Oryctolagus cuniculus: one gene and its partners. The protein of the gene in region 1 interacts with the protein of each later gene in a pairwise test. Links are inferred from orthologs where the notes say so. Each region holds a gene or a part of one and is shown in the gene's direction. Other genes may lie near its edges.

What was found.
Region 2: the proteins of GIT1 (region 1) and HMOX2 interact in a two-hybrid assay, tested with the Homo sapiens proteins (2 studies listed by BioGRID and IntAct). The link is inferred for Oryctolagus cuniculus from reciprocal best matches to the Homo sapiens genes GIT1 and HMOX2.
Region 3: the proteins of GIT1 (region 1) and PFDN1 interact in binary tests that used the Homo sapiens proteins (3 or more experiments, as listed by UniProt). The link is inferred for Oryctolagus cuniculus from reciprocal best matches to the Homo sapiens genes GIT1 and PFDN1.
Region 4: the proteins of GIT1 (region 1) and LAMTOR5 interact in a two-hybrid assay, tested with the Homo sapiens proteins (2 studies listed by BioGRID and IntAct). The link is inferred for Oryctolagus cuniculus from reciprocal best matches to the Homo sapiens genes GIT1 and LAMTOR5.
Region 5: the proteins of GIT1 (region 1) and C6H8orf33 interact in a two-hybrid assay, tested with the Homo sapiens proteins (2 studies listed by BioGRID and IntAct). The link is inferred for Oryctolagus cuniculus from reciprocal best matches to the Homo sapiens genes GIT1 and C8orf33.

The regions. Positions count from the first base shown.
Region 1 is NC_091448.1:45,045,199-45,050,488, reverse strand, and holds part of GIT1 (ARF GTPase-activating protein GIT1), read left to right. Parts: intron 1-3,106; coding exon 3,107-3,240; intron 3,241-3,635; coding exon 3,636-3,748; intron 3,749-3,837; coding exon 3,838-3,943; intron 3,944-4,808; coding exon 4,809-5,026; intron 5,027-5,109; coding exon 5,110-5,204; intron 5,205-5,290. UniProt on the Homo sapiens protein: GTPase-activating protein for ADP ribosylation factor family members, including ARF1.
Region 2 is NC_091450.1:31,092,026-31,097,315, reverse strand, and holds part of HMOX2 (heme oxygenase 2), read left to right. Parts: intron 1-118; exon of another isoform or gene 119-167; intron 168-2,795; coding exon 2,796-2,905; intron 2,906-5,290.
Region 3 is NC_091437.1:27,957,044-27,962,333, reverse strand, and holds part of PFDN1 (prefoldin subunit 1), read left to right. Parts: intron 1-2,892; coding exon 2,893-3,059; intron 3,060-5,290. UniProt on the Homo sapiens protein: Binds specifically to cytosolic chaperonin (c-CPN) and transfers target proteins to it. Binds to nascent polypeptide chain and promotes folding in an environment in which there are many competing pathways for nonnative proteins.
Region 4 is NC_091438.1:59,943,310-59,949,359, forward strand, and holds the start of LAMTOR5 (ragulator complex protein LAMTOR5), read left to right. Parts: upstream 1-2,473; 5' UTR 2,474-2,570; coding exon 2,571-2,605; exon of another isoform or gene 2,606-3,350; coding exon 3,351-3,412; exon of another isoform or gene 3,413-5,306; coding exon 5,307-5,424; exon of another isoform or gene 5,425-6,050. UniProt on the Homo sapiens protein: As part of the Ragulator complex it is involved in amino acid sensing and activation of mTORC1, a signaling complex promoting cell growth in response to growth factors, energy levels, and amino acids.
Region 5 is NC_091437.1:168,506,896-168,512,892, forward strand, and holds the start of C6H8orf33 (UPF0488 protein C8orf33 homolog), read left to right. Parts: upstream 1-2,611; 5' UTR 2,612-2,626; coding exon 2,627-2,827; intron 2,828-2,912; coding exon 2,913-2,958; intron 2,959-3,037; coding exon 3,038-3,213; intron 3,214-3,323; coding exon 3,324-3,408; intron 3,409-3,491; coding exon 3,492-3,638; intron 3,639-3,861; coding exon of another isoform or gene 3,862-3,908; exon of another isoform or gene 3,909-4,111; coding exon of another isoform or gene 4,112-4,251; exon of another isoform or gene 4,252-4,610; intron 4,611-5,002; coding exon of another isoform or gene 5,003-5,082; exon of another isoform or gene 5,083-5,111; intron 5,112-5,997.

The DNA.
Region 1 (5,290 bases):
ACCCCGTGACGCTGGCCGTGGTGTGTGGCGGCATGGGTGTTCTGGGGCCTGTGAATACGCAGCAGCCTGGGGTCCAGACCCAGTGCCACCCTCCTCAGTGAAGCCCCCAGCCAGGGGGGCTTCTCTCGCTGTCAGGGGAGCCCTGGGGTCACGCCCTGGGGTCACGCCCTTTTTATAGTTGGTCCACTGGGGAGGTACAGCTGGTCCCCAGAGGGTCCCGGGCCTGGGCCTGTGGAGAGTAGGTTTGAGCATGTTTTGAGGCAACTGGACGTGGCATGGCCGCGGGTGCCACCTGGTCAGCCGCAGTCTGCATCCCTATTCACACCACAGTCCCAGAGAGGTGCAGGGGTCAGGAGCCCTGGAGAACGCGGTCCCCTGTCCTTTACCTCTAGTCACGTGGCCTCAGTGCTGAGCTCCCAGGCCCAGCCCAGGTCCCCACAGCAGCCTCTCTGCTCTGGCAGCCCAAGGCGCAGGAATGAAGGCCTCAGGATGCCCATCCTATGGACAACCTGCAGGCTCACTGACCTCTGCGTAACGCAGCTCCTGGGGCGGGGCGAGTGGTGGGCTTGCTTCCTCTTGCTGCAGCGTGTTGGGCCTTGTGGACACGGATGTGTGTGTGCAGCCGTGAGGCCACACCCTGAGCTCCTTAATGCCCCGCCAGGGCTAACTGCCCTCTGTCCCCTTGGGTTGCCCTCGCCTGCCTCAGCGCAGCTGGCTTCTCCCTCTTGTGTGAGCTTTAGTGCTGGAGAGAGGTATTTATAAGCAGATGTGCTGGCCCTTGCGGCCACTAATGCTTCTGTGGTGGCAGGAAGTGACATGGTAGAGGCCTCCATGGGGTCGGACCATCCGAGACCCCCTGCCACCTACCTCGCATAGCAGACCACACCCCAGCTGTGGAGCTGGAGCCAGGTGAGGGGTGGCGGGTTCTGAGCAGCCTACCCCAGCCCCTAGCTCTTTGGGCTGACCAGCCTCTTGGTGGCAAGGGTGCTTTGTCCCTAAGCTACAGTAGCTAGTTGGCTTCAGAAACCCTTCCTGCTTCTTCTCTTAGGAACTGGCTTAGGTGGAACTTGGGGGCTCATGCTTGGGTAGACCCGAGGCTGTTTGGGTGTAGGTGGTAGGTAAGACAGTTAGGGTGCGCCTCTGTCGGTATCATCCAGAAGTGAGCTGGCACCAGTGTGGCCCAGACCACGGCAGGTCTCCATTTCAGGTCACCATGGAGGAGAAGGAGGGCCTTTCCCACAGGCGGGGGTGAGGGGACCAAGCAAAGCCTGAGGCCACATTCCCCAGATCCTGGGCCCTTGGTCAATGCCGCATCCAGGGGCTCACTATGTTTGGTGTGCCCACAACCTGGGGCTCTTGGACCGCTGGTCCTGGCTATAACGCTAGCTTTTCCTGGCCTGGCTTCTCTGATAGGGCCACGGGCCTGGGGTGGAGGCCTCAGGGCGGCCCATGTATGATCCTGGCCTGGGCGGCTCCCCACTTACAGGAAACCCCACCATTTCAGCAGGAAGAATTTAGGCTGCATCATTTCCGGCTTCCTGCCTGCGCTGCCGGAGGTGGCTGGCGGGCAGACCCCTGACCCAGTGGTGTTTGGTAGTGGGGGTCGGCCGCCCTCCATGCCTTAGTGGTACAGTGCGCCCAGGGCTCCCCCTCTTGCCACGGACAGCTGGTCTGGGCCTCATGGCCCAAGGAAGGTATATGGTGACACATTGTGGATTCTTTGGATCCTTCTCCTGCCCTGTTTTGGGGAGTCCCTGACGAAACTTGCACCTAGCGACCGAGCCCTCTCATTTACTTCCTGTACGCTGTGGCCAGAGCCGAGGCTGGGCTCCTGACTCAGAGCCTCCACACAGCTCTCCTGGGAACTTGGATGGGAGTCCTGGACGGCCGCGGCCCGGGAGTCATCTTCTGGTTAGGAGAGGTCCTCATCACCCCAAGCTGTCCCCGTCCCAGGGGCCACCCACTCTGGACATCCTGAAGGCCGTGGGGAAAGGCAGAGAGCCAGTACCCCACCCCCTGCCCGCCCCCAGGCCAGGGCTTCCTGAGCCCTGGGCAGAGCACAGTGTCCAGGGAGAGCTCCCCGCCCCCACTTGCAAGCCTACACAATGGCCGCTTTCTCCCCCGTGACCTTTCCGCAGCCTGAGTTGTATGCAGCTGTCTCCTCCCCTTCGCCCAGGGGGCCTGGGATGGGTGGTATCCCCGCTACCCTCGAGGAGGACCCTGGGTACTTCCAGCCAGGCCTGGCTCCCTTGTTGCCAAGTTTTCTTCCCCCGCTTCTCCCGGGGCTCTGGCCGAGCTGCAGGGGCAGAGGAGGGACAGCAAAAGTGTAGACATGGCGTGGGTCTGCCGTCAGAGTGCCTGGGCCCACATCCTAGCACTTCTGATCCTCAGCTGTGTGACCTTGCGCAAGCCCTCTAACCTCCCTGAGCCACTGTCTCCTCATCGGTGAGGCAGGGACAGCATTTCCTACCTCGCCGCACAGTTCTCAGAGGCATCACGCATAAAACAGCCAGTGGTGCACGGTGTTCACTTCATCGCGGTTAGCGCCTCGGCTCTGCCCACCCTTCTCCAGACGGGCTGCGGCCCCCACCATCAGTGATGTGGCAGGAGGCTGCGGCGTGAAAGACCCTCGCACCTGCCAGCACCAGGAGCCCATGGGCGGTCTGGCTGTTAGGCCCTAGGTGCAGGAGACCTGGGGCTGACCTGTGAGAGGAGGGTATCCAGGGATGTCTGGCACATGGCATCAAGGTCTCGTCCCCTAGGGGATTCCTGCCTCCCTGCGGGAAGGGGTAGGGCAGCAGCTTTGCTCCCTGGGGAAAGGCTGGGAGACTGAGGCTGTGGCCACAGGACAGGGAGCTGTGCCCACTGAATGGGCCCTGGAGACCACATGGCGCCAAAGGAGCAAGGATGTGTAGCACAGGTCGTGGCCCTGCCATTCCCACCTGTGAGCCCTGGGAGAAAGCCTTTGTTGGTAACCCGGGCCTAACCGCGAGTATGAGCAGGTGAGCACGCGTGAAGTTCTGAGCGTGGTGTGGACCCAGAGTGGGCGCTGAGAAGGTCTCGCCTGCCCTCTGGCTCTGGCTGACCGTTGCCTCCACGCCGGCAGACCCTGGCTGGGCATCCATCAGCAGGGGTGTGCTGGTGTGTGACGAGTGCTGCAGTGTGCACCGGAGCCTGGGACGCCACATCTCCATTGTCAAGCACCTTCGCCACAGCGCCTGGCCTCCCACACTGCTGCAGGTACAGGGGTGGGCCATGTGGTTTTTCCTTCCCTGCAGACCCAGGCCTGGGCTCAGGTCCTCCCCACCGCAGCCCCACCCTCGGTGGAATCTGCAGCTTCCACGGGGCAGCATCCCCTAGGCAGAGCTGACCCTGACCCTGACCCTGACCCTCCTCACCCCTGCTGCGCTCACAAACACAGCCAGTTCTTGCCCCGACTCTGCAGCTTCCTAGCAGCCAGGTGGCGCCATGCAAGGCACTTGGCATGCTCCATGGGATCCAGGCCTCTGGGTGGCCTGGCTGGCTGCAGGTGTGGGGTGGCAGACCCACAGGAGGTCCCTTCCGTGCACTAGGGATGGGTCCCCGATGCCCAGCACGCAGTGGGCGCACGCTCACTTGGCAGCCTTTCCCCGCAGATGGTGCACACGCTCGCCAGCAACGGGGCCAACTCCATCTGGGAGCACTCCCTGCTGGACCCCGCACAAGTGCAGAGCGGCCGGCGCAAAGCCAACCCGCAAGACAAAGTCCAGTGAGTGGGGCTGCAGGGGCGGCGGGGAGGGCGTGCGTGGCCTGGGCTGTGGCCGGGGACACACGTTTCCTCCTGTGTGTGCCGTGCAGCCCCATCAAGTCCGAGTTCATCAGGGCCAAGTACCAGATGCTGGCGTTTGTGCACAAGCTTCCCTGCCGGGACGATGATGGGGTCACCGCCAAAGACCTCAGCAAGGTGCGGGGGGCCCTGCGAGGGAGGGGCGGGCCTCTGCTTCCCACCCCCACACACCGCGAGGGCCTCTCCTTCATGACCAGTGAGCCCGAGGCCCCTAGGGCTGCCTGGCCAGGGGAAAACAGTGGCCACAGCAGGGGACAAGATTGCTCCATCAGGCTGTGTGTGACCAAGGCGCCTCAGCTCCCGAGTGTGCACATGAGGCTAACGTCCCCCAGCTGCCACTCAGAAGCTAAGGGCAGGTGCGAAGGCTCTCAGAGCCTCAGTGGTCTCATCTGTAAAATGGGAAAGAAATAATAGCAACTACCTCATAGGTGATATGGCTTCCTGGCAGAGCATACAAGCACACAGCGGCTGGTGACTGTGGCAGTTGTTACGATTTTTTGAATCTTATTTTTATTTATTTGAAAGGCTGACAGAGATCGCCCAGCTGCTTGTTCACTCCCCAAATGCCTACAACAGCCAGGGGTGGGCCAGGTCTAAGCAAGAAACCCAGAGCTCAGTCCAGGTCTCCCATGTGGGCGACCGGGACCCAGGCACCTCGAGCCATTCCCTTCAGCCTCTCGGTACATTAGCAGGAAGCTGGTTCCTAAGTGGAGGAGCTGTGACTTGGAGCAGGCCCTCTGGATGGGGATGTGAGCATCCCAGGCCGCATCCTGGCTGCTGCACCGGGTGCCAGCCCTGAAGGCAGTTTTTATTCGTTGGCATTCACTCCTGGTGGGGAGCCTTCTGTCTTCCCTGACATGGCCAGATTTTGGCTGAGGCCCTTGGAGCTGGTGGGCTTGCGGGGAGCAGCGGGGCAAGGGGCAGCTTGGGGCAGGACTCGTGCACACGCGTGCACAGTTACTGCACACTCCACTGCTTGCAGCAACTGCACTCAAGCGTGCGGACCGGCAACCTGGAGACATGTCTGCGCCTGCTGTCCTTGGGCGCCCAGGCCAACTTCTTCCACCCAGAGAAGGGCACCACACCCCTGCACGTGGCTGCCAAGGCAGGGCAGACGCTGCAGGCAGAGCTGCTGGTCGTGTACGGGGCTGACCCTGGCTCCCCCGACGTTAATGGCCGCACACCCATCGACTATGCCAGGTGAGGGTCGGCCAGGGGGTGAGGCCTGGCCGGTGGGGGCAGTGGGCTGCTGCTGCAGGGCTGAGCCATACCCCTCCCCACAGGCAGGCCGGGCACCATGAACTGGCGGAAAGGCTAGTCGAGTGCCAGTATGAGCTCACTGACCGGCTGGCCTTCTACCTCTGTGGACGTAAGCCGGGTGAGCAGAGCACGGGCAGGTCTGGCTGGGCCTGGCAGGTGGGACCCAGACACACCCCAGCAGCAGGTGCCATGGTGACAAAGCCG
Region 2 (5,290 bases), on another chromosome or scaffold:
TTGCAGCTGACACAGCCTTGCCATGCCCTTGTGAACGGCTGTCAAGTGGATCTGCTCAGAGCAGCGTGGCACACCCCAGCTTCAGTGCCTCCTGTTCTGGGTCCTCTGTCCAGGCTGACAGGACCAGCTGCCCTCAAGGCACTTGTGCTGATGTAGGAACTCTGCAGGTATGTTGTGTTTTATTGAATCCTTTTATTATTAGATGGTTTTATTTAATCACTTTATTTGAAAGGCAGAGAGATCTTCCATCCACTGGTTCATTCCCCAAATACCTGCAATGACTAGGGACGGGCCTGGTGAAACAGGTTGAGCCTGGAACTGCATCCAGGGCTCTCACAGAGGTGGCAGGGAATCCAGGTACTTGGGCCAGCATCAGCTGCCTCCCTGGATGTGAATTAGCAGGAAGCTGGAATTGGAAGTGGAGCCAGTTTTCAAACTCAGGCACTCTGATGTGACTTGGAGGCATTCTAAGCATTGTCATTCATTCATTCATTCATTTATTTATTTATTTAAAAGGCAGAGTTATAGAGAGGCAGAGAGGAAGAGATAGGTAGGTAGGTAGGTAGGTAGATAGATAGATAGATAGATATGGGTCTTCCATCCACTGGTTTACTCCCTAAATGGCCAGAGATGCGTCCGTCCTAAGCCAGAAGTCAGGAGCTTCTTCCGTGTCTCCCACTTGGGTGCAGGGGCCCAAGGACTTGGGCTATAGCAGAGAGCTGGATCAGAAATGGAGCAGTCAGGACTCGAACCGGCACCCATAAGAGAGCTGGATCAGAAATGGAGCAGTCAGGACTCGAACCGGCACCCATAGGAGAGCTGGATCAGAAATGGAGCAGTCAGGACTCGAACCGGCACCCATAGGGATGCCAGCACTGCAGACAACAGCTTTGCCCACTGTGCCACAGTGCCGGCCCCATATTATTTATTTTTAAAGATTTATTTATTAATTTGAAAGATTTACAGAGTGAGGGAGAGACAGAGATATCTTCCACCCACGGGTTTACTCCCCAAGTGTCTACAATGGCCAGGGCAGAGCCACACTGGAGCCAGGAGCTTCATCCCAGACTCCCATGTGGGTGGCAGAGGCCCAAGCACTTGGGCCATCTTCTCTTGCTTTCCCAAATGTGTTGACAGGGAGCTGAATTGGAAGTAGAGCAGCAGAGACTTGAATGACACCCACATGAGATGCTGGCCCTGCAGGCCACGGCTTTTACTTGCTATGCCACAGCGCTGGTCCCACCCAGCTTCTTTTTAAAAGCCTTTCTGATGCATTTTGATCGTTTCTCTGAGATGATGAACAACATGGGTGGTGATGAGGATGAGATTTGCCAGAAGTAGATGGAGCAATGATGATTCACAAGACAGCGATGATGGAAGAATGCCGGATCTGGAATAAGGAGTGTAGTCATCACCTGGAATTTGAGAAAGAAAGTGAATTCTCTGCAAAATTTCATAATTGAGAGAGTTCCTGAGTTGATAGCTCTAAAGGCGGATGCTGTATTTGCCTCCTTTAACCCATTTTTCAACCTATTTGTTTTTTTAAAAGGCTTCACTAAGGGTTGGTATTTCCATTGTAAGGGGCAGTTTTAAGTCAGCTAAGGCAATAACCTTATGCGTGAACATTTCCCAGACTTCATGAAGCTGTTGAGGTCCTAGATAATTGATACAGCAGTTGTGATAAATAAAGACATTTCACTTAAGTCTCCTTTACTTCTTCATAACATAGATACTGACATGATAGGAAGTGCTCAGCTGAGGGAAAGATAAGTAAATTTTAGGGTTTAGAACATGGAATCAAAAAAGGCTGAAACAAACTGGCTGACACCTTAAACTGATAACCAGCTATTCCTCTGGTGTATCCTTCAGGAGTGTTCCACTAAAGTTTATTTTTCAAAAAATTCACTTCACATTATTCTATGTAAGTGATCACTTGTCAGTGTTCCAGATGTATCTTAGCTAAAACTAGTGAATGCCCTAACTTAGATGGTTTTTGAAGCCTATACATTTGGTATATTGTTTGGCCCTTAAGCTTTTACATCTCTTAGCATAGAGGACGAAGAAAGCTTAAGAGTCTGTACATTTAGACCAGATTTGTATTTGCACTGTCAGTATGGCAAATGAGAGAAAAAATGTAATACACTATTGGAAATTTTTTTTTAATTTCTTTTTTTTTTTTTTTTTCTGGTTCAGCTTATACCAGGGCTGAAAACCTCAATTTATGTTCATGACAGTGGGGATTTTTTTTAAATGTCTGCATTCTTTCTAATAAACTGTTGGAAGACTTAAAAAAAAATGTTTTGGTGACTATTTTGATATAATTTCAAATGTACAGAAAAGAATTGAAAGATTAGTACAAAGAGCGCTTCTATACCTTTAACCCAGATTCACACCAGCATTTGGCTCCTCTGCTTTGTTGACTGACCGTGTCACCCTAGCACCTGCTTACACATGCCAGTCTTGTGAACCAGTGATGGTAAGATAGTGCACCCCTGTACTTCTGAACACCTGTTTATTTCCTCAGAACAAGGACATACTTTTATTTCTATAACCACTATACATTTATAAGAAAAAACAGCAAATGTCAATGTAATGCTCATTGTCTAATCTACCATCTGCATTCAGACTTTGTCCATATTCTGATGTGGTCTCAGTAGTGGCCGAGGTCTGTTGTAAAGAAAAGCACGGAGTGTCTGTGTTCCCTGGCTGTGCTGGCTCAGGAGAGCAGAACAGGCAGGTGTTTGGAGACGTGTCTGCTATGCATGATGGATCATCAGCTCTTTGTGTCTCAACAGGACAAAAGTGAGGGCAGCAAGAACCACTGGGCAACAATGTCAGCGGAAGTGGAGACCTCCGAGGGGGTAGACGAGCCGGAGGAAAAGAACTTTGGGGAAAATCACATCAGGTGAGCAGTGAGGGCTGGCTGCATCCCATCAGGTGGACCTAGCACTTGGTTTCATCTACTAGTGGCACCCGAGAGTGGTTATGGGTCAGGGCTTGTGGAACTTGGGATACTGGTGGGCTGTGCAGCGATCAAGCGCATACAGCCCCTTGGCTGGATGGCACTCTATTCATTTGTCCTGTTCCAATGTCTTCACCAGAGGCAGCACAGGTGCCAAGTGATAGAATTCGACAGTTGTCCCCCCCCCCCCCATCTATTCCCTTTCCTTTTTGAGACAGGTAGAGGAGACAGAGTTCCCAACTGCTGGCTCACTTTAAGTGCCCACAGTGGCAGGTACTGGGTCATGCTGAGGCTGGAAACCTGGAACTCAATCCAGGTCTCCTACATGGGTAGGGACACCCAGTTACTTGAGCCATTACTTGCTGCCCCCCAGGGTCTACACGTAGTAGTTAGAATGCCCACATCCCATATCTGAAATGCCTGGGTTTAAGCCCTGGGCCTGCTTCTGATTCCAGCTTTCTGCTGATGCAGACACGGTGAGGCAACAGATGGTGGCTCAAGTAGTTGGGTACCTACCAGCCAACTGCATTGAGTTCCCATCTGCTGGCTGGGAACCAGCAGATGGAGCTATCTCTGCCTCTCACATCAATAAAAATAGCTGTTCTTTCATCTGGGCTGAGAAAGGGTTATCAGTGGCAAAGCTGGCTCCATTCATGGCGCCTTCCACTGGTGTGAATGTGGAGGCAATTCTGACTGGGGGCCAGAGCCAATTCTCTTTGAGCCTCAGATTACTGGGGACTGTTCTGCATTGTTCTTAGTTTGTTGTAATAACCCTGTCATTGGCAAAGTTCTTTTTTAATACCTTGAAATAATTGTTGATAATTGCATGTGGGTGATATAAGCTCATCTAAAGCAGCCAGCAGAGGCTGGATTGTGACAGGGCTGAGTCTTCCTTGCTGTAACACATGGGTTTTGTGGACGTACACCTGCTCAGGTGCCACTCATGTGTTCTACCTTGTCCATCCTTCAGAAGCACAGCTTTAGCCTGATTTTTTTTTTTTTTTTTTTTTTTTTTTTTGGACAGGCTGAGTGGACAGTGTGAGAGAGAGAGAGAAAGGTCTTCCTTTTGCCGTTGGTTCATCCTCCAATGGCCGCCGCAGCCGGCGCACTGCGGCCGGCACACTGCGCTGATCCAATGGCAGGAGCCAGGTACTTATCCTGGTCTCCCATGGGGTGCAGGGCCCAAGCACTTGGGCCATCCTCCACTGCACTCCCAGGCCACAGCAGAGAGCTGGCCTGGAAGAGGGGCAACCAGGACAGAATCCGGCGCCCCTACTGGGACTAGAACCCGTTGTGCCAGCGCCACAAGGAGGAGGATTAGCCTAGTGAGCCGCGGCGCCGGCCGCCTGATATTTTTTCTACTCCAAAACATTTTTTTTAAAAAGAAACTAATTTAAATGTACATGATGTGACTTTGTTAAATACTATTTTTCTCTGATTCTAACTTCCTGATCTTAATTAACTTCATTTCTGTTGCCATGGAAACCAGCAATGCAGTTAATCAGATGCAAAGGTAGTGAGGTACACACAGAAGCATTCTATAAGTACAGAAACAACACTTACTTCCTGTGTGATTTTGTTCAGCAGCATACCCAAGGACTGTCCCAGCCTTCACAGTCAGTCCCCACCCCTCTTTTCTAAAAAAATTTATTTATTTGAAAGAGTTACAGAGAAGTCTTCCATCCACTGGTTCACTCCACACATGATCGCAACGGCCAGAGCAGAAACCAGGAGCCAGGAGCTTCTCCCAAGTCTCCCACACAGGTGCAGGGGTCCAAAGACTTGGGCCATCTTCTACTGCCTTCCCAGGCCAATAGCAGAAAGCTGGATCAGAAGTGGAGTAGCCGGGACTTGAACTGACACCCATATGGGATGCCTACAGTGCTGGTGCTTTAACCCGCTGCGTCACTGTGCCACAGTAGCAGCCCCCAATCACAGTCCTTTATGGCTGCAGCATCTGAGCCATTCCCAAAGGCCAGGCTATAGAAGCCAGGAACACTGATGGGAGTAGAGGTGGTTTCTTCAGCCACTAGGTGGCCACAGAGACAAAGCATGATTCAGTGTTTTGGTTTTTTAAAGACTTACTTATTTAAAGATTTATTTATTTATTTGAGTTACACAGAGAAGGAGAGGCAGAGAAAGGTCTTCCATTCACTTGTTCACTTCCCAGTTGGCTGCAATGGCCAGAGCTGTGCTGATCCAAAGCCAGGAGCCAGGAACTTTTTCTAGGTCTCCCGTGCAGGTGCAGGGGCCCATGGTCTTGGGCCATCCTCTACTGCTTTCCCAGGCCATGGGAGAGATCTGGATTGGAAGTGCAGCAGCTGGGAC
Region 3 (5,290 bases), on another chromosome or scaffold:
ATTTGGGGGGTGAACCCACGGAAGGAAGGCCTTTCTCTCTGTCTCTCTCACTTTCTAACTCTGCCTGTCAAAAAAAAAAAAAAATTATAGACAAGTTGAATAATTTTGACAACCAATTAACAAGGAAACGTATATCAGTTTTTTTTTTTTTTCTTTTTTAAAGATTTATTTATTTGAAAGGGAGGGAGAGGCAGAAGCAGAGAGAGAATCCATTGATTGATTCCCTAGATGTCTGCAATGGTGGAGCTGGGCCAGGCCAAAGCCAGGAGTTTCTTCCTGGTCTCCCATGTTGGTGCAGGGGCCCAACGACTTGAGCCATCCTCCACTGCCTTCTCAGGCACCCTAGCTAGCAGGAAGCTGGATCAGAAGTGGAACAGCCAGAATTCGATGGCATTGCTGCAGGCTCAACCTTCAGTGCCCTAGCATTGGCTCCGTGTATCAGTTTTATTTCCTAATGTCTTCATAAGCTATTTTTTTGAGTGGTATTTAATAGGAAATATAGACATCTCTTCTTCCCCAAAGTAAATCTTCTGAAACTTTGCTAGATATGCAACTCTGAATGAAGCACAACACATAGAGTCTTCAAATAATCTTATTTATTTGGGAATAGCAAAGCACTGCAGTGGGAAGGCATGCACCATAGTGAACTGTGAGAAGAAGGAATAAAAGCTGTGTGGTGGTGGCTTTTGCCAGGTATTGCATTCAGAATGTTGTTATTAAGGCAGAACTCTGACAGCGTGTGAAAGTCATTCCAAGGCACTTCAGCAAGAATATCCAAGAACTGGGTTTATGTTTGAGTTAAGTGTACTCAAGGATCAAATTTGGCTTGGTGTGTGTGGATGAAGATCATGATGCAAGACTTCTGCCAGTGTTTTGCATTTTCTCTCTTTTTTGTACCCCTATTTTTTTTTAAAGGATTTATTTATTTGAAAGGCAAAGTTTCAGAGAGGCAGAGAGAGAGGAATCTACAGACCTACATTCTGGTTTTTTTTTTTTTTTTTTTTTTTAAGATTTATTTTATTTATTTGAAAGAGTTACAGAGAGGCAGAGAGAGAGGCGTCTAATGTCCAATGGTTCACTCCCCAGATGGCTGCAACGGCCAGAACTGTGCAGATCCGAAGCCAGGAGCTTCCTCCGAGTCTCTTGTGTGGATGCAGGGGTCCAGGACTTGGGCCATCGGCTTTCCCAGGCCATAGTACAGAGCTGGATTGGAATTGGAGCAGCTGGGATCGAACTGGTGCCCTTAAGGGATGCCGGCACTGCAGCCGGTGGCTTTAATCACTGGCCCCCCTTTTTTAAAGATTTATTTATTTGAAAGGCAGAATTACAGAGATGCAGAGGCAGAGAGAGGGATCTTTTGTCCGCTAATTCACTCCCTAAATAGCTGCAGCATCCGGAGCTGTGCCAATCTGGAGCCAGCAGCTTCTTACAGGTCTCCCACTGGGTATAGGGGCCCAGGCACTTGGGCCACCTTCCATTGCTTTCCTGGTCCATAGCACAGAGCTGGATTGCAAGTGGTGCAGTGGGATTTGAGCTGGTGTCCATAGTGGATGAGAGAGATCTTCCATCTGCTGGTTCACTCCCTGAATGGCTGCAACAGCCGGAGCTGGTGGGATCCAAAGCCAGGAGTCTGGAGTTTCCCTCAGGTCTCTCATGTGGGTGTTGATGCCCAGAGACTTGGGTCATCTTCCACTGCTCTCCCAGGCCATAGCAGAGTGCTGGATCAGAAGTGGAGCAGCTGGGATTCAAGTTGATGCCCATATGGGATGCTGGTACTGCAGGTGGTGGCTTTACCTGCTATGCCACGGGGCTGGCACAAATTTTCTTAAAAATATTCATGTTCTGAATGTTTCTGTAGATAATAAAAGTGAAAGATTTCTGAACTAAGGGGTCAGAAGAAAATGATTCTAATACCTTCCTTTTGAATCTTATGTCGTTCAACCCTATGTAAGCCACTTTTATCTCAATTGATTTAGTTACTTAATTTATAAATTGTGGATGGTGAAACTTGTCCCTAACTCAAGGTTATTTGGAAGAATAAATGAGTTAAGTGTTATATCCCTCTTTAATAGTTTCATTAATTTTCTTATATTAACATTTCAGACTAATGTGGGAAAATGCTTTGAAACCTAGTTGTGTAGTACAGATGGAATGAGTTGTTACTTTTATGTTTTTTTTCTTAAGGTTTGTTTCTTTGAAAAGCAGAGATGGGGAGAGGGTAGGAGTGGGGAGAGGGAGAGATGGGAGATGGAGATGATGGAGGCGGAGGCAGAGGCAGAGGCAGAGGCGCAGGCAGAAGTATCAGGATCAATCCTCCATCCATCTGCTGCTTCACTCAAATGCCTGCAACAGCCAGGGCTGGACCAAGTTGAAGCAAGGAACCAGGAACTCCATCTGGATCTCCCACAGGGATGGCAGGGCTCCACGCATGGAGCCATCCTGCACTGCTTTCCCAGGCGTGTTAATGGGAAGCTGGTCTGGGAGTGCAGCAGTTGGGACTTGAACCAACAGGCATTCAGAGATGGAATGCCTGATTTGCAAGTGATGGCTTAGCCCTGTTGTGCCACAAAACTGGCCCCTGTGTTTTTTTCTTTGAATCCTTGGGTTTCATCATCTGAAACTCCTGGAGTAGTTGATACTTGGTATGGTTATTTTTTAATGTGCATTTATTTTTGCTTCAGGTTGATTGCATCTTCTAAGGACAGGTAAATTCAGTATTTAGCATAGTGACTTGATCATTTATAATTATAGTGTAAGCTTACTGATATTTGCTTTGGTAAATTTCACAGCTTTGTGAATTGAAAACAGGTTTTGTTTTAATGTATTTGGGTTTGGCTTACATGTTTGCTGTAAAATGTTTTACCTACTAAATCAAGGACCTATTTTTATTAGGCCTTCACAGAGCTTCAAGCCAAAGTTATTGACACTCAACAGAAAGTGAAGCTTGCAGACATACAGATTGAGCAACTGAACAGAACGAAAAAACATGCACATCTTACAGATACAGAAATTATGACTTTGGTAGATGAGACTAACATGTATGAAGGCGTAGGAAGAATGTAAGTAAAATATATCTTTACAGGGGTTGTTATGGGAGAACGGTTGTCTGAACTGAATCATTGAATTTGTTTATTTTGAAATTTGGGCCAAAGTGTATAGAAATAGCGTTAGTGGTTATTTAGTCAAATGCCTTCTTTTTTTAAAAAATGAGGTAATGAACCTTAGAAAGGTATGAGTGTTTAATTTTAAACATTGAAATTATGTATCTTAAATCCGTGTTCTCTCTACAGTTATGTCCATACTAATTTTGTTTGTAAAGATTTATTTAAGTAGGAATAATTTTATTTGTTTTTTAAAGATTTTATTTATTGATTGATTTGTAAGGTAGGGGGACAAGAGAGGAAGAGACAGCTCTTCCATCTGTTTTTTGATTCTCCACATGGCTGCAATAGCTGGAGCATGTTAGCACTAAGGTGGAGCACTCCTGTAGGGGTGCCACAACATAATGCACCCCCCTTCCTTTTTATTTTTATTTTTTTGTTTCACTTATTTGAGAAGCAGAGAAAGAGAACCTTCATCTGTTAGTTCAACTCCCAAATGCCTGCAACAGACTGGGCTGGACATGAGTGAAGGTGGAGGCCAGGAACTCAGACAGGTTGTCCACGTGGTTAGTTTCAGACACCCATCACTACTGCCTCCCAAGGTCTGCATTTGCAGGAAACTAGAGTTAAGAGCTAGAGCCAGACAGTGAACCCAGGCCTTTGGGTGTCTTAATTGGTAACTGCTGGCTAAACTCCTGTCTCAGTAGGTGTAGTGTTTTTTTCCCCCCAGAGATTTATATATTTATTTGAAAGGTGGCGTTACAGAGAGGCAGAAGCAGAGAGAGAGAGAGGTCTCTCATCTGCTGGTTCACTCCCCAAATGGCCACAACAGCCAGAGCTGAGCTGATTTGAAGCCAGGAACCGGGAGCCAGGAGCCAAGAGATTTCTCTGGGTCTCCCAGGAGGGTGCAGGGACCCAAGGACTTGGGCCATCCTCTACTGCTTTCCCAGGCCATAGCAGAGAGCTGAATCAGAAGTGGAGCGGCTGGATTCAAACTAACAGGGGTATTGCAGGCGGTGGTCTCAGAATGTATAGGTTTTTTATTATTATTTTTTTTGACAGGCAGAGTGGACAGTGAGAGAGACAGAGAAAGGTCTTCCTTTGCCGTTGGTTCACCCTCCAGTGGCCGCCACGGCGGCGCGCTGCGGCCGGCGCACTGTGCTGATCCAATGGCAGGAGCCAGGTACTTATCCTGGTCTCCCATGGGGTGCAGGGCCCAAGGACCTGGGCCATCCTCCACTGCACTCCCTGGCCACAGCAGAGAGCTGGCCTGAAAGAGGGGCAACCGGGACAGAATCTGGCACCCCGACCGGGACTAGAACCCGGTGTGCCGGTGCCACAAGGCGGAGGATTAGCCTAGTGAGCCGTGGCGCCGGCCAGAATGTGTAGTTTTAACCTCCCTTTCCCTGACTAATTTATTAGGAGTCATACAAATCATAAATCTTCGAGATGCCTGAAAAGTGGTAAAAATAAAGATTGGTTTGCCATTGAATATACTCATTCTTAAGTGTTAGGAAAATGGTGCAGTTTTATCTATGGCGTGATCTATGCCCTGGCTCCCCCTGCCAATGCTGAAAGCCAGGTAGCCACATGGCCCAACCACCAGTGTCAAACTCCACCCCCATCCTAATGGGATTCGCTGCTCCTGCTTCCCTGCCCGCCCTCCGGCAAAGTTTTAAAAATGAGCCGTGGCTCACTAGGCTAATCCTCCACCTGTGGCGCTGGCACCCCAGGTTCTAATCCCAGTTGGGGCACTGGATTCTGTCCCAGTTGCTCCTCTTCCAGTCCAGCTCTCTGCTGTGGCCCCGAAAGGTAGTGGAGGATGGCCCAAGTCCTTGGACCCTGCACCTGCATGGGAGACTAGGAGGAAGGCACCTGGCTCCTGGCTTCGGACTGGCGCAGTGCGCTGGCCATGGCGGCCATTTGGGTGGTGAAGCAATGGAAGGAAGACCTTTCTGTCTCTCTCTCTCACTGTCTAACTCTGCCTGTCAAAAAAGAAAAGGGCGGGGGGGGGGGCCTGTTCCTGAACACGTGGCTCTCTTGGCTCCTCTTGTCTGCTCTCCTCTCCTCCTCTTGTCTCTCTGCTCTCTCTCTTCTCTCCTCGCTAGCTCCTCTTCTCTCTGTCTGTCTCTCTTATACTCTCCTTCTCTCCCCTTTTCCCTCTTCGCCCCTTCCCTCCAGCCTGCTGG
Region 4 (6,050 bases), on another chromosome or scaffold:
CTGGAGGAATCTCTTGGCTTCTGGCTTCAGCCTGGCCCAGCCCCAGCCATTACATCTGGGGAGTGAATCAGAGGATGGAAGACTCTCCTTGCCCCTCAGAACTCTGACTTTCAAATAAATAAGTCTTTAAAAAAAATACTAGCAGGCAAATGCTCCCTGTGCCAGACTGCATGGGGCAAACCAGTAGCAGCAGAGAGCGAGCCACTTGGCGGAGCAGGCTGCCCTCCTGCCTCTGGTGTGTGCCCACTGCCATCCTCCTCCTTCTGTTCCCCTTTGCCGGCATTCCTTGCAGCCTAAATACCAATGAGCAGCCTCAGTGCCATCTGGCTTGGCGGTCATCTGAGATCCGCGGGAGCCACATTGACCATTGCTGTGGCTGCCAGCCTCTCACGGCTGCTGAGCACTTGAAACGTGGATCCTGTGAATGGAAATGGGCTGGTAAGCATGAAATGTACATTGGATTTTGAAAACTTTATGTTGAAAGGATATTTTGGATATACTGTCTGGGTATGTAAAATATTTTCTTAAAAGTTAATTCACATGTTTTTAGACTTCTCTGATGTGGCTACCAGATCATTTCACATAAGGAGTGCCCTGTCATCTTATTTCTGTTTGCAGGCTGCCTAAGAGGTTAAACACATACACACACACACGCACACACCAAAAACCCAAGGCTGCACCTCGCAGCCCGGTAAAACGTTACACACCGAGTAACCACAAGGGGGCGGTCCTGCAACGCATGACCAGCAGGAAGCAGGCTGGCTCCCCAGCCAGCCGTCACAACTTGGTTTCCAGTAGTTAGTAAGTACTTCACTTACATGTCTGATTGCAATCTTGTGAGGTCAGCTTTTAAATCCTTTTTCCTAAAAATGTCTATGGTCCATATTGTGTTGTCCTTTACCAGAAATAACTCTTCTAGGGCAGGAATCCAAAACCCTTGAAAAGCAACGCACAAAGTGGGATTTGAAGGAAGCTGGAAGCTCCCCTCTGACCTCTGGGAATGAAGAGGGACTTTGCCCTCCAGGCTGAAAGCGCCCTGAGCTGGCCATAGTCAGCAGGGAGCCCGGGTAACAGCTGCAGGTGAGAGGGCTCAAGCACGCTTCCGGTAAGGCGAGGCTTAGCAGAACTGGCAGGACACACAGGTGCGCTCCTGTTTTCACCAAAGTGCTACCATCTGAGTGCACGCTGGCACTACCTCTGTGCCAGCAATTCACGTCCATCAAGTCTTAAAAACAACCATATCCTTTGGCCCGGTAATTCCACTTCTAGTAGCTTACCAGGAAAATTTTAAACTGCACAGAGATTTAGCCAAGAGGATATTCACCCAGCAAGCTAGTATCCAAACTGTACATTAACATGGAGTTGGTCAAGTCAGTTAAAGCACATACGGCTGAGACATGGAATATTTTGCAATTAATAAAAACTAAGTATTTATTTTTAAATATTTTATTTATTTGAAAGAGCTGCAGAGAGAGGTAGAGACAGGGAGAGAGGTCTTCCATCCGCTGGTTCACTCCCCAGATGACTGCAATGGCGGAGCTGTGCCGATCCAAAGTCAGCAGCTTCCTCCGGGTCTCTCTCGCCAGTGCAGGGGCCCAAGGACTTGGGCCATCTTCTACTGCTTTCCCAGGCCATAGCAGAGAGCTGGATCGGAAGTGGAGCAGCTGGGGCTCAAACCGGCGCCCATATAGGATGCTGGTGCTTCAGGCCAAGCCTTTAACCCACTGTGCCACAGCACCGGCCTCAAAACTAAGTATTTATTAACACGAACAGACATTTATGCTAAAACCTGTGCAAAGGCTCAGCAAAGGAATCATGTCCAATATTTTTTTTTTTTGCTTAGAAAAGAACAAAAGCCATTTAGAGCATACCTCTGCAAATACATCCACCTGAAAGGGACTGCAGTCACTTCTGGCAGTGGAAGTGTGGGAAGTGTGGCTGGTTTCCTTCCTTTATTTTTAATCTTGGCTTTGACAGCTTGTAAAGCTGTTTTCAGGGAGTGTCACCCCAGTCCTCCTTATGCGTTAGGTATCACACGGCACCTTCTGGCCCCAAACCTTCCTGAGCCCTGATCACAGGAAAAGCAGTGTCTTAGTTAAAATTCCAACACGTTTTGCCAGCGCCCCGCTCCGGGTTTTACCCGCGGGCCACCTCGTCCTTTGTCCCGGGTGTACGCCCTTCAAGGAGCCCGTGGCTCCTCTGGCCACTTGCTCCATCCCGCCGGGCCCGCAGGGTTACTGTCAAACACCATCCTGTCCTTGGGTCTCGGAGTCGTTTGCACTGAGACCAACGGACAAGAACCATTGGGCCAGACTGCAGGCCAGGAACTGAGGCGCTGGGGCCTGGCTGCAGACTCTCACCCCGCGCAGCCCGAACCCTCAGGGAGACGGGAGCACGGCTCGGCGCCGTCTTCCGGGAGAGAACTCGGACGTGGCGCCGCGGCGAATTTTGTCCCATCGGCGGCGCCGTCGCGGGCAGCGGAAGGCTCGCGTCACGTGACGGAGGCCCGCAGTGAAGCGGAACGCGACGGCTCCGGGGGCCCGGGCGGGGGTGCGCTGCCGGCCGGCGGGATGGAGGCGACCTTGGAGCAGCACCTGGAGGACACGTGAGCAGTGCGGGCCTCTCCGGCCAGTTCTGAGGTCGCAGCGCGGGTTACGTGCGGGACAGCGGGCGAGACCCGCGAGCGCCGGAGGGCGGCTCGGGGACGCCGTGCCACCCCAGAAGGCTGGCCGAGGGGACGGGGCCGGTGGCCCGAAGTTAATATCCCGCTGGGGCCCGCAGCCTTCCTCTCGGGGCGCCGTCCGCAGGATTAGGTCGTTCAGGAGGGTGTCGCAGGTGTGCCGTCGGCCGCACCGGGTACACACACACACAGATCGTGTGTGCGATCTGTCATTTGGTGTTTAAGGAAATACCTGTTCCTTAAATGTGTTAACGTCTGTGTAAACTCAAAGCTGCAAAAGTCTAAGGTGTACGTGCAGACACCACCCTCCCAGCCACTCCCTCGTCATCCCACTTCCCTTCCGGGAGGCAACGCCTCTTAGTTTGTCCAGTTGTCTTACCTGAGCTGTTACGTAAAGCGTGCGGTTAGAACGGCGAAAAACCCCGCATCCGAACTGTTGCGTGCGCCTAGGCTTCCCAAACCCAGCAGATACTCATTCTTCTCTGCAGCTGGCTTCAATTACTACTTTAATTTTGCTCGGGGTTGGGGAGTGTGGTAGGAAAGAGGTCGAGAAACCCATTTAAAGCACTTAGGCAATGCCTGATAGCATGGCAGGCCCACGGGCGTCATAACCGTTTGCATCCACTTTCTCAAGCCCTCTGCCTCACCTCTCCTGTGTTTCTGGAATTAGGATGAAGAACCCGTCCATTGTTGGAGTCCTGTGCACAGACTCACAAGGCCTCAATCTGGGCTGTAAGTATCTCCTGCCAACCCTTTGCTGGACTGCGCCACACCTGGTGTTGACCAAATAGTATTTGAGTCATTTCAAACTGGGCCTAGACAGGACTCGCCCATGAGAGCTGTGAGCATGTGCTGAGCCATATGCGAGGCTCCACCTGCCTTGCTGCACTTTCCACAGTATCCCTGCATGATGGGTGGGTGCAGTGTTCTAGTCCAAGTACACCAACAGTGAAAATAGGAGATTCTGAGTTTGGCACAGCTGAGTTCAAACACTCCCCCCACCCCCACCCCGTTCTTTCATTTGCTAGTTGTGTGAACTTGGGCCTAAATGAACCTTTCAGGAACTTTTTTTTTTTTTTAATATTTATTTATTTATTTGAAAGAATTAGAGAGAGGGAGAGACAGAGAGATCTTGCATCCTCTGAGTCATTCCCCAGATGGCTATAATGTCCAGGGCTGGGCCAGGCCAAAGCCAGAATCATCCAGGTCTCCCACAAGAGTGGCAGGGACCCAAACACTTGGGCGATCTACTGCTTTCCCCAGACCTTTAGCAGGGAGCTGCATCAGAAATGGAGCAGAAGGACACAAACCGCTGCCAATATGGGATGCCGGCATCAGAGATGTGTCATGGCACCGGCCTCCATGGCATAGCTTCACTGGGCTCTTGTTTACTGAGACTAGTGCTTACAGAATTGCGTGCTCTTCCTTGAGTTCCAGGTACCATTCTAATGGTAACTCACGCACTCCTCCTAACAACCAACGTGAGGCACAGAGGTAAAGTAGCTTGCCTAGGGTCATAGGGCGGTAATTGGCTGAGCTAGAAATGGTGTCAGGGTCCAAAGCCTCTTCAATCACAATGCCGTGAGATTATATAATATGCTTAAGACAGTGCACACCCAGATGGAACATGCTCAGAGAATGACAGCAATCACAGATGAGGAAATGATAGATAAGGAAAATGATAGATAACTAGAGCATTTAGTTAATGTCAGAACTAGTAAACCCAGGACACGTCTTAGTGCAAGAATTTTTAAAGCTCTGAATTTTTGCTGCAAGGGTAACAAAGCGGTAATCTATAACTCAGTTGCTTGGAGAAAAAAGGCAAATGTTTTGACGCTTTTGCCAGACTCACTAATGGAAATACTGAAATGAAGTGTGAAACTCTATTAGAGTTGCTTCAAGAAAGCTTCAAGGTGCAAAAGATGGCGCCGTGCTGGTGAGTTGCTGTCAGGAAATCCCTCTGCCCACCAGCCACAGGCACGGTTCTGCTTGGCCTGCCTTCATACACACATACAGGACACAGTAAACTCAGCAGTTACATTTTGTGCTTGGGACCCAAGGTTCCGTTATCATATACAAGCTAAAGCAGTCAGGAGTAGAAGACAATCGTGTGGGCATTTGAAAACAGCCAAGTAGCTATGCTAGCAGAAATAACTGCTCACAGAATGTTCACACGTGCCATCGAGGAGATCTGAGACTGCGTGACTCCTCAGGAGAGGAAATCCGCTTTCCCATGAGGAATGAATTAGCTTCAGCAAGCCTCTTGCGCGTATTGACTGCTTTTTGTCAATCTCACCTCTAAGCTTTTTGTTTTCGCAAGGTTCCTATCCAGTGAATTTATGGTTTTCAGAGTGACCTGAATTACAGCGTCCTGGTATGTTGAAGCTGTTTACAGATGGTGATAGGTGTGTCAGTTATAGCTTACTGATTTATTGATTTTTGTTGCCCGGCTTTCTCACTGATGTAACCACTGAGCGTCAGGGAACAGTCACTTCATGTAAGCACCAAACTTAAAGGACCAGGACCTGAACCTCCTCTTTGTGAATCATTCAGTGAGATACTGTTGCTCCAAACTTACTTGTGGCTCACCAGGTGCCCTGATACCATCGTTCTCTCTCTCTCTCAGGCCGTGGGACGCTGTCAGATGAGCATGCTGGAGTGATCTCTGTTCTGGCGCAGCAAGCAGCAAAGCTAACCTCTGACCCCACCGACATTCCTGTGGTGTGCCTAGAATCAGATAATGGGTGAGTAGAGGCCTCAGATCCTTTCCTTTCTGTTCAGAAAAACCCCTGGACAACTTGACTGAGGCCTGCTCTGTGTTCCTCAGTGACTCCATACTCAAAGTATGTCGGAGCAGGTTCTTGACCCTTTGGGCCATGGGAGCAGACAAGAATCTTGGAAGCCAATGTGCTGGCAGACCACAGTGACACTTAAATGAAGAGTAAACTGTTATTAGTCTCCCAGGAAAACAGAAGTAATTAAGTACCACAAAAGAAAACTAATCAAAGCATCAAGCCTTTTTTCTTTTTTTTTTTTTTTTTTAAGATTTATTTATTTGAAAGAGCTACACAAAGAGGGAAAGAAAGAATCCTCCATGTGCTGGTTCACTCTTCAGGTGGCCACAATGGCCAGGGCTGGGGCAGGCCAGAGCCAGGAGCCTCATCCAGGTCTCCCACATGGGTGGCAGAGGCCGAGATTCCATCTGCTGGTTCACTCCCCAGATGGCCAGAATGGTTGGAGCTGGGCTGATCTGAAGCCAGGAGCCAGAGCTTCTTCCAGGTCTCCCACGTGGGTGCAGGGGCCCAAGCAGTTGGGCCATCTTCCACTGCTTTCTCAGGTGCATTAGCAGGGAGCTGGATCAGAAGTGGAG
Region 5 (5,997 bases), on another chromosome or scaffold:
AGCTAAGCCATGGCCGGGGTGCGGGGGGACTCCGTGTTCTTGGAGAGCTGTGGGGTGCCGGACACTCAACAGTCACTTCCACAGATCCGGTCCCGCTTGAGGGAAGGAATACGGACCTTCAATGTCTTCTTAAAATCCCTTCGTGGTTGCCAAAATGTTACCGGTAAAATGCAGGGTTCTTGTTTTCCTGCAAGAAAGAATTCAGGCATGAGACAGACAGTAGTGGGAGGCAAAATAGCAAGGTTTATTAGGGAAGGGACATCCGTAAGAACGGATGGGCACCTCTCCAGACAGGACCTGAGAGAGAGTGCCCAGTCACTCAGACTGGGGGAAAGATCGAGGTTACATGGTTGAGTGGAAAGAGTACACCTGGGCAGGCCAGGTGGGCAGCTCAGCATAAAGGCAGAGGGCTGAGCGCGCAGTCTGGTTGAGGCCAGGGGTTTTTAAGGGGATGGGTCTTGCTTTCCCACCTCTGCTCCTCTTGGAACAAAGGACTTCTTGGATGTAAATACTAAAAACTCCTATCTGAGCTTTCCCCTGAAGTTATCCGATGGGTTGCCCCAGTTAGAGGAAGGATGGTTATTGGGTAGAAGATACTGGGCTGCCCCTGAAACATTATCGGGATGACCTTGAGATGCAGATGCTGGACCCAAATGTCTACTTAGGCCTTTGTCACACACACATAAGCTCATACCTGACTTCCTATCTAACAGAAGTGACTCAGTTTAGATAGGTGTTCATGGCACTAGTTCTTAAGGTGCAGTTACGTATTTTGTTTGACTATTTGCTTTTCTTTCATCTTTATCACTCATTTCAACTTTAAGAAAAGTGATTGTAATCTTGTACTTTCAAGTGTGTGGAGCCAGGTTGGGGTTTTCTTGTTTGGGCTTCTTCAAAAATGTTTTTCTATCATGAAGAATATGGTAACTTCAACTTCAAAAAATATTTTTTTACCATCAGATAATGAAGACAGGAGATAAACTTTAGGAGTACAAACAAAAGTTGGTTTAGGCATGTGAGATTTGTATGTGGATTCAAACTGATGAAGTCCTGTAAAAAGTCAACACAAGTGAAAGGGTTTTTTTCTGAAAGATTATTTGGATAAAACAAACAAGAAAACCAGTTAATTGAGAAGATAATAGGAATCGACTCAGGTTGATGGAAGACTCGATGTGTAGATTCTGCTCTTTTTTAGATCTTTCTTTCTTTTTTTCTTTCCTTCTTTCTTTTTGACAGGCAGAGTTAGTGAGAGAGAGACAGAGAGAGACAGAGAGAAAGGTCTTCCTTTTTCCATCGGTTCACCCCCCAAGTGGCTGCTATGGCTGGCGCTGCGCCGATCCAAAGCCAGGAGCCAGGTGCTTCCTCCTGGTCTCCCACACGGGTGCAGGACCCAAGGACTTGGGCCACAGCAGAGAGCTGGACTGGAAGAGGAGCAACCGGGACAGAATCCAGTGCCCCGACCAGGACCAGAATCCAGGGTGCTGGCGCCGCAGGCAGAGGATTAGCCTATTGAGCCACGGCGTGGCTTATTATGTGTACTTTTAACATCTTAAATGCTGTAGGGGAGACTTTGTGTTTGTTAGCATGTATTCTCATAGGTTGTCTATACATGACAATTCAAGACTATGTAACTATGGGTGTAAATTTCAGAAGGTGTGAGCAAGTCATAAAAAGTTTTAAGAAAAGTTTACAATTTTAAAACATTGTTCATAGAGTTTTCTTTTTTAAAAAGATTTATTTATTTATTTGAAAGTCAGAGTTACACAGAGAAAGAGGAGAAGCAGAGAGAGAGAGAGAGAGAGAGAGAGAGAGAGAGGTCTTCCATCTGCTGGTTCACTCCCCAATTGGCTGCAACGGCTGGAGCTGTGCTGACCGGAATCCAGGAGCCAGGAGCTTCTTCCAGGTCTCCCATGCGGGTGCAGGGTCCCAAGGACTTGGGCCATCTTCTTTCTGCTTTCCCAGGCCATAGCATAGAGCTGGATCGGAAGTGGAGCAGCTGGGTCTCAAACTGGCATCCATGTGGGATGCTGGCGCTTCAGACCAGGGCGTTAACCCGTTGCGCCACAGCATCGGCCCCAAGTTTTCTACAAGTTGAATGTGAATGCCAAAATTACATTGACCCAAGATTGAAGTCCAATCTTCTGTTATGACAACGAGGTTTTTGAAAAATGCATATTAATATGTTAGTAAATATCCATATCATTGCTTGGTTCCAGTCCTGGCTGCTCTACTTCTTTTTTTCTTTTAAATTTTTATTTATTTAAAAGAGTGACACAACACACACACACAGAAAGAGGTCTTCCATCTGCTGGTTCACTTCCTCACTTCCTTTGGGTCTCCCACAGGGGTGCAGGGGCCCAAGTACTTGGGCCATCTTCTGGCCCAGGCCATAGCAGAGAGCTGGATTGGAAGTGGAGCAGCGCCTCACTGTTACCTTACAACCATATCTTGGATCCGTTATTGGGTTTGTTCTTGTTAGCTGTTATCTTACTCGGACCAGCGCCCATAAGGGATGCCGGCACTGCAGGGGGCAGCTTTACCAGCTATGCCACAGCGCCGGCCCCGGCCCCGCCTGCTCTACCTCTAATCCAGCTTCTTGCTAATGTGCCTGGGAAGGCAGCAGAAGATGGCTTTGTCTACGCAGCCGGAGCTCGGCCAGCGCCGCCCCGCCTCGCCTGTAGCCCCGCCCCCTGCCCCGCCCCCTGCCCCGCCCCGCGCCTCCCCGCGCACCCGGAACTCCGCGTCGCAGTCGCGTTGCTGGAGGGGCCAATTTGGTCCCGGACTCTGCGCCCTACGCGGGTTCCGGCGGCGAAGGCGGAGCATGGCGGTGAGCGTGGCGGAGGCGCGCGCGCTGCGGGCCCCTGGGCTGCTGGCGGCCTCCAGTGACCCTGATGCTGCCCTCTTCTCTTCAGGCCCCAGGACGTCCTGCTCGCGAGGCCTCTGCGGCCTCAGGCTCAGGTACCGCCTGCGCGCCACGCAGACCCCGGGCCCCTGGCGCGGTTCCGGTGCCCCGAGTACTTCCCCTGTTTCCGTGCAGGGCGACCCACGTGCGGTGCCGCCGCCCGCAAAGCGAACCCCGCAGTCTCTGAGGGCAGTGCCGCCTCCAGGAAGTCCAAGAAGAAAATCCGGGACAGGGCTCCTGCGGCGAACGGAGGCCAGACGGCTTCGGAGCAGCCCGCTCCAGAGGAAGCCTCGCGAAGTGCCGAGGCGCAGGCAAGGGGGTCTCCCGGTGGCGTCTAGAAATCAGCCTTGTGGAGGCAAGGAAGGGCCTGGGGCGGCAGGTCCCGGTGCCTGCCCTCAGCCCCTCTCTCCACCCGTCTCAGGCGGAGCAGCTGGCCCGAGAACTGGCCTGGTGCGTGGAGCAGTTGGAGCTGGGCCTCCAGACGCGGAAACCCACCCTGAAGCAGAGTGAGTGGGGGTGTGGCGGTGGCGGCGCTGGGTGAGAGGAGGTGGGTACAGAGCGGGGGACTGGCCTTTTCTCTTATGCGCAGGAGAGCAGGCTGTCGGGGCCATACGAACCCTGCGCAGCGACAGGACGCCCCTGCCCCGGAAGCGGCAGCTGATGCGTGCCCTGTTTGGAGACTACAGGGCTCAGATGGATGCCGAGCGTCTGGAGGCCCTGCGGTCTCTTAGGGCTGGTGAGGAGCTTTGCGTTTTGGGATGTCCGGTTCAATAGAGAGGAAGGGCTTAGGGAGTGCATCTCTGACGCTGGTGGGGATGGAGTTGAGCTCAGGGAAGCCTGGGCGGGGCGGAAGTGTGGAGCCCTCAGCAAAGCAGAACTGGGCCTGGGCGCAGGGGGCAGAGGTTCTCGGAGGGGAAGGAGCCTGGCCCACAGCTGGCCCTGCCTCACCTTCCATGCAGCAGTTAGTAAGTCCTGGAACCAGCCATCCACCTTGCTCCAGTCCTGAAGCTACCACTTAGGTCGTTAGCACCCTTGGCAAGTTCTAGTTCTCTCCGTGATTCTGTAAGTCATGATAGGAACTGCCTTAGGATTCTCAAGATCAGTTGATTTCTGCTGAGGGTCAGGGTTGCATGAGCAGTCGTAACTGCACAGGTGCTGTTTGCTGTTACTCAGTCCTGACTCTGATGCCCTCTGCCCCCCCCCCCCCAGCTGCTCGGTCTGCCCAGGTGCAGCCTGTGGGTGAGGCCACCAGAAAGAAGAGCCGAAAGGTCTGCAGGCCACGTCCAGTGGGAGGCGCCAAGGCCACTGTGGATACTCCTGATGAAGAGTTTAGGTTCAATTTCTTTTAGCCTCTCCCCCATCAAAGAACAACCCCGGGATGTTGTCTTGAGTGCAGAGACTTTCCAGGAGGTCTCTGTTGGCAGAGGTCAGCTTCGTCTACAGCAGGGCTGTTGGGCTGCTGTGAGTGTCAGACAAGTGCAAGCCCCCATTTGTATGTTTTTGGATGACATGCCCCTCCTGGCATGAGAGAGAGAGAGAGGAAAATCTACAGGAAACAGAAATGAGTGTCATGAAAAGAATAATGTACTTTATTGGTTTTTCAGGCTTGGTTAAGTGCTCCTGGTAATAAGGATTAGTGGTGAAGCTACCTAATTGTACGCTGGGGCTCAGTTTTGAAAATAAGCCCATTAAATATTTCATTGCTTTATACCATTTTGTCTTATTGCCTCAGTCTCCACTTTTGATGGAAGTGGATGATTGAAAGAATGCTGAACATCTCTGTCTGAGGAAGTACACGAGCTGAGGGCCCAGCATAGTTGGGTCCAGGACCTCACCCGACGTGTGGTCCCTTGTCCTTGTTGCCCTCGTGAGCAGTGTTATCCCCAGGGCCGCTGTGGGTCCCAGCAGCACAGGCTGTTCAGAACACTGCGTCAGGCCCAACATCTCCGTCTGTCTTTTGCTTTCTGGTCAGTGGTGCTTCTGCCCACCTGGCTGCTTAGGTGGCAAACTTGTCATCTCCCTTTTTCAACACACGTCAGTACTTGAATGGTTGTCAGATCTGCGTCTCATCTGCACTGCTGCTCTTGGTTCCGGCCCCAGGTCTCAACCATGACTGCTGTGTTGGCCTGATGTCTGCTGCGTTGCCGCTCTGTGGGTGTGTCGGCTCATGGTTCTCCTGACTGAATGGCTTCATTAAACCCAGACTACGGTATGAAAACTGACACACAAGGCCTTAGGGCAGGAGCGTCACGATGGCTCTGACATAACCTCCCGCCCTTGTTCCAGCCTCTCTGGTTTCTTGTTTACTCCTGAAATAACCAAACGTTATCCTGCCTCAGGGTTTTCAGCATTACTGCTCATTTTATGTGGGTTTCCTTGACTGGCTCCTGGGAAAGCAAATATCAACGGGCTTCGTCCATTGTTTACTAGGCGAGGTAATATCCTGTGAAGAGACTCAGCAGTGTTCACAGGAAGTGGTTCCCGCTTGGGCACAGTGCAGATGTAAAGTGTCAGAATGACCCCTTTATTTAGTGTCTGCTTTCTTGCTAAGAATGCTGTTTGTTGAAATCACAGACAACCGCTTTGTTGTCAGGAATGGTGGGTAGAAAGGAGACAGCCTGATCTCAGGAGGATGCCCTGGTCTGTATGTGAAGCAGTTTCACACACGCGGCTTGTGGAAGCCACTCACACCTCTGTCTTGATTCTGTGCATTCTCGGGAAATAGCCTAGTCCATGTCACAGTTGAGACCTGGTGTTATCCCAATTACACCTCCCTGCCTTCTGTTCCCATTTAGATTCCACCTAAATGCCCCTCCCGTAAATGCTGTAACGTCCCCTATCTCTGCGGTGAGGTGCCCTGTGCATCTGAGTATAGTCTGCCTGGGAATAAGACAGTAAACTGGGGTTACACAGGTTAGTCCCTGTTGGCTTGGGATGCTTGGGCTAGGACAGTCTTCATCTTGGATTTTGTCGCTTCCTCTCCCATTCCCCATTCGCAGTTTGACCCTTTGCATTGGGTATATTTCTAGGAGTTGGGAGGGCCTAAGAAAGGGAACACCAGGGGAGATCTTCCTTTCCTGATGTCTGTAGTTACA